Tribolium castaneum: one gene and its partners. The main gene of each other region encodes a partner of the protein of the gene in region 3 in a complex. Links are inferred from orthologs where the notes say so. Each region holds a gene or a part of one and is shown on either strand. Other genes may lie near its edges.

Region 1 (2,923 bases), on a different chromosome or scaffold from region 3:
TTAAATATAAGCCACAGAATGTCAGACGAAGTAACTTTTGACTACGTTAGAAGCCTAAAAGACAACAGACAGGTTCTTCTAATTGATGTGAGGAACCCGTCGGAATTAGCGCAAACTGGAACAATTCCTGGAAGCATCAATATACCTTGTAAATACCCTAATTAACTTATGAATTAACTGCAAAGTACTTCATTTCAAGTGGCCACTTTAGAAGAAACGCTGCAGAACACAAGTGATGAACAATTTCGTCAAGTTTTCCGAAGAGAAAAGCCTACAAACACCACGCCTTTAGTTTTCAGTTGTCAGTCGGGGCGGCGGAGCCGAGCTGCGCTAGATTTAGCCAAAAATCTGGGATACGTAAAGTAAAACATTCGTTTTGTTCCGTCTTTAATTAAAGTCGCCTGTGATTTTTAAATTTAGTTGGCAACTAGATGTTGCCAACTTAATTCGAAATCATAGGCCACTTTGACCCGAAATTTAAGTTCAATTTTCAGCGCCAAACATTTCCCTGGGGGATGGACCGGTTGGGTACAACAATGTAAAACAAATTAAGTAATAAAAAAACTTTATTTATACGTAATAAACACTCAATTCTACGAAATTAATTTTTCTTTTCGGCCAGTTTGGAGTTGACCATTTCCCTGAACTGTCCCAAAATCCTGTTCTCCCTCTTCTGCCGTTCTTCTTTGCTGAACATGGCCAAAGCCCGCTTCTCATCAGCTGAATAAATCTGGTTTTCTTTCCGTATCCTCACAGCCTCCATTCTCCTGTGTCTTGAGCCGGACATGACATAACCCACGGCTTCAAAACTTTCAATTTCTTCAGACGTGAGTCCAATTTCACCTCTTCTTGGTATCCGTTTTCCTTCGGCGACGTACGCAGCCATGGCAGCCCCCTCACCAGGGAGCAAAGCCTTGCCCATTTCCTTGTGAGTCAGGGCGGCATGGGGCTTCAAAATGGGGCCGACGATCACCTCTTCGGTCTCTTCCGCATTGGTTTGGGGTTTGTTGGTGGTTGTGGTCTTCTCGACCCACTCTTCCTCCCCTGAACTGCTCTCACTTGAAGACTTCTTCTTTTTCTTCTTCTTTTTATGCTTCTTGTGGGATTTTTTCTTTTCCTTCTTCCGTTTTTTTAGCTTGGGGGCGTTCTTGGTGACGTCTTCGACGTCACTGTCGGAGTCTTCGGGTTCGGGGGATTGGCCCCAAATGCTGGGGTAATCCCTCATTCCGAGGATCTCACGCTCCTGGCGTCGGGACTCCATGAACTCGTCCTCAAGGTGTTTTTTCTTTGTGACTTCATATTTGTCGTTTCGTTCAAAACCGTTTGTTGTGGTGCCTCTGGATCTAGACCTGCGTCTGCTGGAATGGCGGTCTCTTGACCTGGAATGAGACCTGGACCTGTGTCTCCTATTACGATCATTTTTAAACGATCTATCAGTTTTGTGTCTCCGGTGGTCCGGGGAACGGGACCGACTGCGTCTGTGTTTTGCCACATCCATCATTTCGTAAAAAATCAATTTTTTTACAATAACATAACCTTTAAAAAAAACTGTCAAACTGAAGTCACTTTACGTCATTCCCATAAGCTAGAATTGACATTTGCTCAAACCATTTCAAATTTTAAGGAAATAAATAAAACACAAAATGCGTCGATTTGCTAATTTTTATTCATACAACGATACTACAATTGTAACTGATTAAAATTCGGGTTTGGTGCAAGCCATGGCCCCGCACCGATTCCTGCAGCACTTTTTAGCCCCCCTGCAGTCCGAGTCTAGGGCACACCTGCTGGAGCACACCCAAGGGCCTGACGGTGCAACTGGACAAGACCCTTGTTTCTCTAAAACACAAATTAATTTTCTTTAAAAAAAATTGTATCCATTTCACCTCCTCTTTGAATTCGCCTCGTTGTTACAGGGGCCGTACAAAAAGTGCCGCCACAAGCCGTCCGGCAGCATTTGAAATGGCCGGCACAGTGGTTGTCTTCGAAACAGGCCACTTCACAGATCCCCACGTTGGGGTACGGGGGGCAGTCTCCCGATTTTGTTCGAGGCCTTTGGCCGTACACAAAAACAGTTAGAAGGGAAAGGATTAAGAAAAGTTTTGCCTGCATTGTTAACACTTGTAGGGCTTTAAGATGAATGGAATTGGATGTTGTGTAGGTGCAAGAGTCGAAGAAACGGAAACCACAAAACGACAAATTGAAATTTTGATTAAGTGTGCGGATTTAGGGCGGATGTGGGGTTCCACTGCGGTTTGCGCAATTTAGTAATTGGTTGAAATCTACAAAAATAGAAAAAATGTATTAAAAATTACCCATTTTTATTATACTTGTATTAATTTACTACTGTTTTTTTCTTCAATTCCTGCTGCTAAACAAAATTAGGTCAAAAATTTTAGTTTTTTGAGCGTTTCATCGCGTTTTCAGTCAGAAAAGCGTCTGCTGTGAGTAAAGTTTTATCAGAGAAGTCACACTATTTCAATCGTTATACAGTTTCACGTTTAAGACTGTAAACAGATTGAACCAAAAGTATAACAACAAAATTCACATTTAGTTTAAAAACAAGCCACCTTAAATATCTTAGTAAAAAAAAACAAAAAAAATAAAATTTTTGAGACAGGTCAATTTTTATTTAAAAAGAAACATTTAAAAAATCTCTTATATTTATTTATATTTATATTTATATTTGATTTAGTTATTTTTTTATCTTACTCAATATAATAAAATGGTCGATTGGTAAATTTTTTCTTATTTGAATTTTTCAAAAAATTTATTAATACGTGTATTATACACGTAATCAATAACAAACAAAAATTTCGAAAAAAACAATTTTTGAAAACGCTTGGTTCTATACTTCCGCCAACGCTGTATAAAAAATGCAAGGTATGATTATAAATTATAAAACGACCGAAAAAAATTGTTT
Region 2 (4,332 bases), on a different chromosome or scaffold from region 3:
ATCTCTCTGTGTTAGGAACGGGAATTTTTCTGAAATTTACTCTAACGGAGCTAAATGTAAACCTTACAGAAACCCATTACTTTTTCCCTCTTCTTGAGGAGGCAATTTTTTTTCCTCCTCAAATTGTCCTATTGCCCTAGTGTTGTTTTTCCAGTTGTTAATTTTCTACTAATTACTTACTACGAAAGTTTATACAAAATAAATTGTTCATCCATACTTTCGACGATCTTTAAGAAATTTATTTCTTAGCTCTCTTAGCTATGAAATGTAAAGAGTTATAGGCTGTAGCAGATTTTTTGAGAATATCCCTATTAAAGTGGGTAATTTATAAATTAGCAACAGTGAAAAATTAGCCAATTATTTTGATAAATATTTTTCTGATGTACCAAAAAAATTGTAAGTGTAATTAAAGTAATCTTTCTGGTAGGTTCCCAGATATTTTAAAAATTGTCGAAATAATTCCTGTATTGTATATTTGGATAATAAATTGATGGATTGATCAGAAAAAAATAATAATAAAATAAAAAAATCAAACAATCATTCGCAATTCGGGGACTCACTCAGTCGCTCATTGGCCACACTGATGTCATAAACGTCCACAGAGCCCCCTTTGGCCGCCTGATTGCCCTGCTGCGAGATGGAAAAATTGCGATAAACGACACGTGCCCCATACGCGAAACAATCCGAATCCTGACTAATAATCCCATCGACGAGCTAAAACAACCCCTTGAACCTTAGAAAAAAAAATATGTTTTTACCCCAGTTTCATTCAATTGTGCGCACAAAGCCTCGGCCTCGCCCTCCCCAGTCACACACGCAAGCCCCAACAAACTCAACATCTCCTCGCACCGTTTCAACGTGTGATTAAACCTCGACCTGTCCTTGGTCTTGGCCCCATTTTTGGGCTTCGCCCCTTTGAACTGCAGGGCATTGCGGGCGGCGATCGTCTTGTATTTGAGCTCGGGGGCGCGCCCCTCGAGCACAAACACCACATTTACGTCCATTAGGAGCAAGTAACAAGTGCGGAAATACAAATTTCTGGAAAAAAAAATCAAAATTTTGAACCGGTGTCAGTCACCTAACCTCAAGTACATGCGGGGTTGCACCGTGTATTCGGTCACGTTTTGCGACTCGCACACCCAGCACGACAAGTCGATGGCCACGGTCTTGCCCTGCAGCTCGTAGAGGGGCTTACGCTCCCCGAAAGGGGCCAGAAGCGTCCACAGGTCTTTGATGCCCATTTTCAAACTTGGGGATTTTGGTTTTGGAGTTGGTGACAAAGTCTCGACGAAAATCGGGGGATAAAACGCTTAAAACAGACTCAAATGGGCAAATTTCGTCTTTATTCTCAAAAACAACATTGCGTCCAGAGTTTTATTTGTGAAATATGTTCTGTAATTAATGATAATAATCTTTACGACAACACCATTTCTTAATGGGTGTTTTTGCGTCGTTCGGTTGGTAGTGAGGCGCAGAAACGTCACGTTTGTTTGGGGGCTGTTTTATCAGAAACCACAATGGGGGCTATCCGGAAGCATGCCGGAGGATAGGTTTTGGCTGACGAAACGCCTTGTTGTTATAGTTTTGTTTTTGTATTTTTTGTACGTGTGGAAGGAGCTATCGGCGTGATGTCGAAGCACCGAGTGTCTTACTTCTTCAACCCTGACGTGGGGAACTTCCACTACGGGACGGGGCACCCCATGAAGCCCCACCGCCTGTCTGTGATCCACAGCTTAGTGTTAAATTACGGGCTGCACAAGCACATGCAGATTTACCGGCCTTACAAGGCCAGCGCCCACGACATGTGTCGCTTCCACTCGGACGAATACATCGGTAAAGCCACCACGGTAATTTCACTTGCCTTAACCCCCACACTTGTAGATTTTCTGCAAAAAGTCACGCCGCAGAACATCCAAGCGTTCACCAAGCATCTGAGTCACTATAACGTGGGGGACGATTGCCCGGTCTTCTGGGGGCTGTTTGACTTCTGCTCCATGTACACGGGGGCGTCGCTCGAGGGGGCCATGAAACTGAACAATAACCACTGCGACATTGCTGTTAATTGGTCAGGGGGGCTCCACCACGCCAAGAAATTCGAAGCCAGTGGTTTCTGCTACGTTAACGATATTGTGATTGGGATTTTAGAATTGCTCAAGTACCACGCGAGGGTTTTATACATTGACATCGACGTGCATCACGGAGACGGCGTCCAGGAAGCCTTCTATCTCACTGATCGGGTCATGACGGTCAGTTTCCACAAATACGGCAATTATTTCTTCCCGGGCACGGGCGATATGTACGAAGTGGGGGCGGAAAGTGGCCGTTATTACTCCGTCAACGTGCCGCTGAAGGAAGGAATCGACGATTCCAGCTATTGGATGGTTTTTAAGCCGGTCATTTCAAGCGTGATGGAATTTTTCCAACCCACTGCAATTGTACTACAATGTGGGGCCGATTCCTTGGCCAACGACCGCCTGGGGTGTTTCTCCCTGAGTACCAAAGGGCACGGGGAGTGTGTTAAGTTCGTCAAGAGTCTGAATGTTCCAACTTTGGTGGTTGGAGGTGGCGGTTATACGCTGAGAAATGTCGCGAGGTGTTGGACTTACGAAACTTCGTTACTTGTGGATGAACAAATTTCAAATGAATTGCCCTACACCGAATATTTGGAGTTTTTCGCACCCGACTTTACCCTACATCCTGAGGTGGTCACAAGGCAGGAAAACGCAAACAGTCGCCAGTATTTGGAGGCCATTACTAAGTAATTTTTAAATTGATAAGTATAAGGGAAAAATGACGAACGTCATTCAAAGAAAAACAACTTTTTTTAGTTAATTAGTTTTAATTTTGACTATGGAGGGCTATAACTTGAGCTAAAAAAATAGTAAAAACTACATGACATTATTAGTTCAAATTCTTGAAAAGTAGTTATTTCCTGTTTTTCCCCTGTACTCTTCAATTGAAGGTTGAACAACTATACCAGTGGCGCAGCCAGAGATAGAGTTTATGGGGGTTTACCTTCGTAAAAATATGTTTTTCATTAGTAAACTAATAACGACGCAGAAATGAAAAATGAGCTCTTTACCTGCATATGATTATTTTAGTTCCTTGTAGCACTTAAAATTAACTAAAAATAAATATGTTGCTGAATGTTTTTTCGGAAATGTTGTTCGGGGCAAAAATAATGTAAAAAAAATTGTCTTAAATTCAAGGTTATTTGTTGTATAGCTCACATTTTGTAGCTACAAAAATTATTAAGAATTTCACACAAAAAGCTTTATCTGTCTGTTTCCTGCCTTATTTTATAGGTGGTAATTGTTTTAATATTTTTGTTTAAGTGTTTCTATTTTAATTATTTTCAAAAATATATGCAAAATAATCGGTAAATAATATTGGTATTTTTTGTTTTGTGTAGATAATATTATTTTTTTTTATTTTTTTATTATTACCAGAAAGATAAGGGAGTGTACCTACTATCAAAAACAGTAATCTGTTAAAAATGTCGGTTTTCATAAAAAATAACGTCATTACTCAAAAAGTTATTTCTACCATGGTATCAGAAATGTAGCATTTATTTTACAAAAAACCTCTCCGAAGATTTTTCTGAAATATAACGAAAATATGGATTTTGTGGGTTGCTTTTCTCGGAATTTTCGGAAGTAGAAAAAATCGAATGTCTACAATGATTGTCTGGAAAGTTTTGTTTTATTACTGCAACTTAAATTATTTTGCATGATTATGTTCTCAACCCCCAACAATCTCCCTTGCTGCGCCACTGAACTATATTAAGGAGGTCTGAAGTGGAACTGAACGCAAAATTTGAAATTGAATTTTTATGAAAAGTATTGCACAAAATAGTTTCATTACAACTGGGTGTTGTTCTAACGTTGAATCATTCCCGAGTTTAAAACGGTTAGAAACGTGATTTGTTTATTTTTCTATAAAAAAATTAAGTTCAAATAATAATAATAATTTATGAAAAAAAAAACATGGCTTAAAATTAATTTTTTTAAAGTAGAAGTTATTTTTAGAACATAATCTTTTACCAAAAAAATCGCCATAGGAGGAAGCCATTTGAAAAAAAAATTAATAACACGTAGACTAAAAGAAATTTCAAAAAATTTTATTCTTAAAAAATTATCACATTTTTAAAGTAGTCGATGACTTAATAATTAGTTTTTTCGTAAGGTACATAGTTTAAGCATAAAATGCTTGGTTCCATACTTTTGCCCAACGTTGTATATGAATTTGAAAAAAAAACTTCTATGTCATTAAAAAATAAAATGAAAAAGCCCATTTTTTGGTCATTTTTTTTTTATTAAAAAATGGTACATA
Region 3 (4,144 bases):
GGTTCGAAATGTAGGGTTATGTTGTTAGATGGAAATGGCAAAATTTACACTTTTATGAATTCTGTCTCTATTTCTGCCCTTTTAGAGCGTTATGGTAGGATATTTGGGGCCGAAATCTCTACCTTTATCATGTGCTATTGCCAGATAGAGACAAAAGTTCAAAAAGTAGGGTTAGGGTTATTATGCTCTCTTCTGAAGTGTTAAATTGTAACTTTAATGGATTTTGTGTGCTTTTCTGCACTTTTAGAGCGTTATTAATTATTGTTGAATATGTTTAAGGGCAGACAAAACTACCTTGAGTCAACGACATAAACTTCAGTGAGATTTATTGAAAAATGAACTTCTCGTGTCAACCTTTTCATGAAAAGGATGTTTAATCGTTTATAAAGGGCGTGTTAACGTGTGTTGTTAAGTTTACCACGTAATAAAACATAAAGTACAACTTTTCTATAAAACCATTTTGCAAAATTCTTATTCATTATTTTCACTATTTTTCTCCTTTTTTTTGTCCAAACGAGCTGGTGATGTGAAATTTCAGTACGAAAATTAGTGGTAACGCCACAAATTGTATTAATTTTAAGTCTCCAGAAAATTCGGTTTTAAAAGTAGGGTTATGTTATCAACAGGAAACGTTAAAATTTAAACTTTTAATAAATTCTGTGTCCGTTTCTGCTCTTTTAGAGCGTTATTAATTATTATTGAATGTGTTCAAGGGCAGATAAATCTACATTGAGTCAACGACATAAACTTCAGTGCGATTTATTTAAATATATATATATATAGGACAAAAATGAACTTTTCGTGTTAAACATTACCATGAAAAAGGGTGTTTAATCGTTCATAAAGGGCCTGTTAACGTGTGTTAAGTTTACTAGGTAATAAAACATAAACTACAACAACTTTTCGATAAAAGCATTTTGCAAAATTCTTATTCATTATTTTTACTATTTTCCTCCTTTTCTATAATTGATTCGCACTTCGGGGGCCATTCTGAATACTGTTTCCACCTTTTTTTTTTCAAAGAGTATTTGATTGTTATGTACTGATACACTCACAACTTCTTTTTTTATTTCACTTTGGGACACTGTTAGGAGCTACCACCAGAAACAGCTTCCAAAGCATTCGTTAAAAACATTTTTTTATTGCATTCCATTCGTAAGAAAGTGAGGTTAAAAATTTGACAACTTGCGCACTGAAGTAGCTACCGCGCAAGCTACCGAAATACTTAATAACCGAATATGTAACAAAATTCGACAAATACAAAAAGGTGGCCACAGTTTATATCTATTTGATAACATTAAACCAGTTACACCCAAAATACACTAATTAATTAAAAACAGTCATTAAATTGAATCTTTTATGAAATTATTTAATAATAATGGTGTTGGGGACTTTTCACTTGTGACACCAGTGTTGCCTTGCCCAGTGCTGCCCTTGCCACTAGCAAGTGTCAGTGTGGTGTCAGTGTGAGTTTGTTTGGCGTTATTAATCGTTTATTTGTGCAATAGTTTAGCAAAAACAGTCAGGATGGGCAAAGGCTTCAACAACTACATGTGTAAGAAGTTCTTCCACCCCGCTTCGCGGGACAACCTGAAGCGGGTGTGGATGGCGGAGCAGAAGGCCGAGGCCTACAAGAAGAAGCAGGAGGAGCTGCGCCAGCAGTACGAGAAGGAGCAGGACTTGCACGACAATAAGGCGATGCTGAGCAAGGAGAGCAAAGACAAGTTGAGCATCAACTTCATGTACGAGCCCCCGCCCGGGGCGCGCAAGGAGCGCGAGCGCGAGGACAACGAGCCGGAGTACAAGTTCGAGTGGCAGCGTAAATACAACGCCCCCCGTGAGAGCTACTGTAAGGGCGATCAAGAGATTAGGGACCAGCCGTTCGGGATACAAGTGCGGAACGTCAGGTGCATCAAGTGCCACAAATGGGGGCACATTAACACGGATAAGGAGTGCCCCATGTACAGTTTGTCGACCAGTGTGGCCAGGTCGCTCGAGTCGGCCTCGATTTTGGACCAGAAGTCGTTGGTTGAGCAAATGAGGGAGGATGGGCTTGCGATTAAAAAGCAGTATTTGAGCAATACGGGGACTGCTAATTATGATTTGATTATTAACGAGGATGCTGATGAGAATTCGGTTGTGACTTTTATTAAGTCGTTGACGAAGAAGCAGAAGAAGGCGTTGTTGAAGAAGTTGGAGAAGATTGAAAAGGGGGGGAGAGATAAGAAGAACAAGAAACGAAGGGATTCAGATGAGGCTTCCTCAGATGAAGACAGGAAGAAAGCAGGGAAGAGGAAGTTCAGGAGGAGGAATCAGAGTACGAGCTCTGAGGAGGAATCGGAAGATGATAAGAAGAAACACAAGAAGAAGGAAAAGTCGTCAGAGTTTAAACTAATGTCCAAAGAGGAGAAAAAGGCATTGATTAAGTAAGTTTCGACTTTAAAACTGAGGACAATGTACTCTACTTTTTAGTCGAATATCAATTTTTTGTACGAAAATTTTCATTTGCAGTAGTTCATTTAAAAAATCACAACTCTTGAAACTTTTACAATAAATAAATAATTATATTAGTATTCGATAACCAAAGGTTCAAAGGGTCTTTTCAAATTTTCAGGATTGTCAAATGTCAAATTGCAAGACTACTATGATTTTTTGAAATTGATCAAAAAGTAATTATAACAGTTTTTTCAAATTTTTGAATGGTAATCAAAAGGATATCGATTTTTATGGAGACTTTTATCAATATCTCCTATATCTATCTCTTATACTTTTTAAAATAATCTCAAAAAAAAAAGACCAAAAGCTCATTGTTTTCAATTTTAATCGAGTAAACTTTCGAAAAATACGATAAAGTTGTGCTATTAAATAAAAGTACTGCTTATTTGATAATAAATCAACTAAAAACTAAATAAAAGTTGGACAGTTGTTGACCATTTTGCAAGGTCTACTTGATTAACTATGAAAATTACGAAGTAAAATCCGTGTTTTTTTTTGTAATTATTTCTAAAAATGTAGGAAATGGGTATAGGACGTGTTCATAAAAGTCACCATAAATATTGATGTTCGATTGCTGTTAAGAAAAAAGGATCGTTCCATTTGAAAGACTGAGTTATAGCCATATTTTGCCAAAATCATACTAGCCTTGAATTTTGACAAATGACAATTTTACAAAAATTCAAAAATCCCTAAATCGATTAAAATAATATTTTTTATTTAAAAACGACAAAAAGGGGGCAATTACAAAAAATAGTACAAAGATCTTTTAATTTACTATTAATTAATTGATTACAGGAAACTGGAAATTGTGGAGAAAGCAATCAGTAAAAGGAACGAAAAGAATGGGCGAAGAAGTTCCGATGAGGACAGGTCAAGGAGGGACAAAAAGCACTCACGGCATAACAATGATGACTACAGACGGGACAGGAAGCGAAAATCTGATGATTCCTATTATGAAAATAGCAAAAGAAGACGCTCTTAAGTTTTTGTTGTACATTTCTTAGAATTGTTGTGATTATAGGGATTATCATGATACTTGTAATAATTTAGAAAACGTAATATATTTTTAAACGTATTCCACCGAATTTTATTTATAAATCCCGCCAACTTTAGCGACAGGCTGGCTATTGGTCCATTTTCGCGCAGGCGCTTAATGAGTCGCCATTTTGTAACGCAAGCTTGTCATTGATTTTCCTTGAAAGTGTTTTGAAACGAAATAAGCCAAAGCAACAAGCATTGGTGCTAGAAAATGGAACAGATACCAAGGACTCATGAAGGTACGCTGTTTTTTGCACCCAAAAGCCCGTTTCATGACTTTTTTGCGTCTCTAGACATCGAGGCCCAAATTCGTGAAATCCAGTCTAAAAAGAAGGAAATTCCGGTGGAAGAGGAGCGAAACGAGAAGGGTGTAGGTTTAGGCGAGAGTGGCTATTTTGATAGTGAGATCTACGATGGGGGCGGCGGTAAGGGTAAATACGAGGGTTATGTGACCTCGATCGCCGCCAACGATGAAGCCGATGAAGAGGACGACGATGTGGGTTATAGTCAGAAACGGACCGGACTGGGGGCCCCTGTGGCGCTCCTCAATGATGTCGCTCAGGTGAGATTTGTGTTATTTAAGTTTTGTGGTAGTTAACTGAGTTGTTTA

The links.
Region 1: corepressor interacting with RBPJ 1 (region 3) and NKAP family protein CG6066 share a complex: the UniProt entries of both Homo sapiens proteins name them as parts of the notch corepressor complex. The link is inferred for Tribolium castaneum from reciprocal best matches to the Homo sapiens genes CIRSR and NKAP.
Region 2: corepressor interacting with RBPJ 1 (region 3) and HDAC3 share a complex: the UniProt entries of both Homo sapiens proteins name them as parts of the notch corepressor complex. The link is inferred for Tribolium castaneum from reciprocal best matches to the Homo sapiens genes CIRSR and HDAC3.

The regions. Positions count from the first base shown.
Region 1 is NC_087400.1:4,954,098-4,957,020, forward strand, and holds NKAP family protein CG6066, read right to left. Parts: upstream 1,594-2,923; 5' UTR 1,502-1,593; coding exon 602-1,501; 3' UTR 549-601; downstream 1-548. Other genes in the region: waprin-Rha1, read right to left, coding at 1,697-1,839, 1,887-2,112. UniProt on the Homo sapiens protein: Acts as a transcriptional repressor. Plays a role as a transcriptional corepressor of the Notch-mediated signaling required for T-cell development. Also involved in the TNF and IL-1 induced NF-kappa-B activation.
Region 2 is NC_087401.1:11,246,703-11,251,034, reverse strand, and holds the start of HDAC3 (histone deacetylase 3), read left to right. Parts: upstream 1-1,466; 5' UTR 1,467-1,628; coding exon 1,629-1,833; intron 1,834-1,881; coding exon 1,882-2,758; intron 2,759-4,332. Other genes in the region: flap endonuclease GEN, read right to left, coding at 561-714, 759-1,038, 1,084-1,241. UniProt on the Homo sapiens protein: Histone deacetylase that catalyzes the deacetylation of lysine residues on the N-terminal part of the core histones (H2A, H2B, H3 and H4), and some other non-histone substrates.
Region 3 is NC_087395.1:16,037,752-16,041,895, forward strand, and holds corepressor interacting with RBPJ 1, read left to right. Parts: upstream 1-1,416; 5' UTR 1,417-1,527; coding exon 1,528-2,426; intron 2,427-3,291; coding exon 3,292-3,478; 3' UTR 3,479-3,571; downstream 3,572-4,144. Other genes in the region: Sf3b1 (splicing factor 3B subunit 1), read left to right, coding at 3,746-3,773, 3,828-4,096. UniProt on the Homo sapiens protein: May modulate splice site selection during alternative splicing of pre-mRNAs. Regulates transcription and acts as corepressor for RBPJ. Recruits RBPJ to the Sin3-histone deacetylase complex (HDAC). Required for RBPJ-mediated repression of transcription.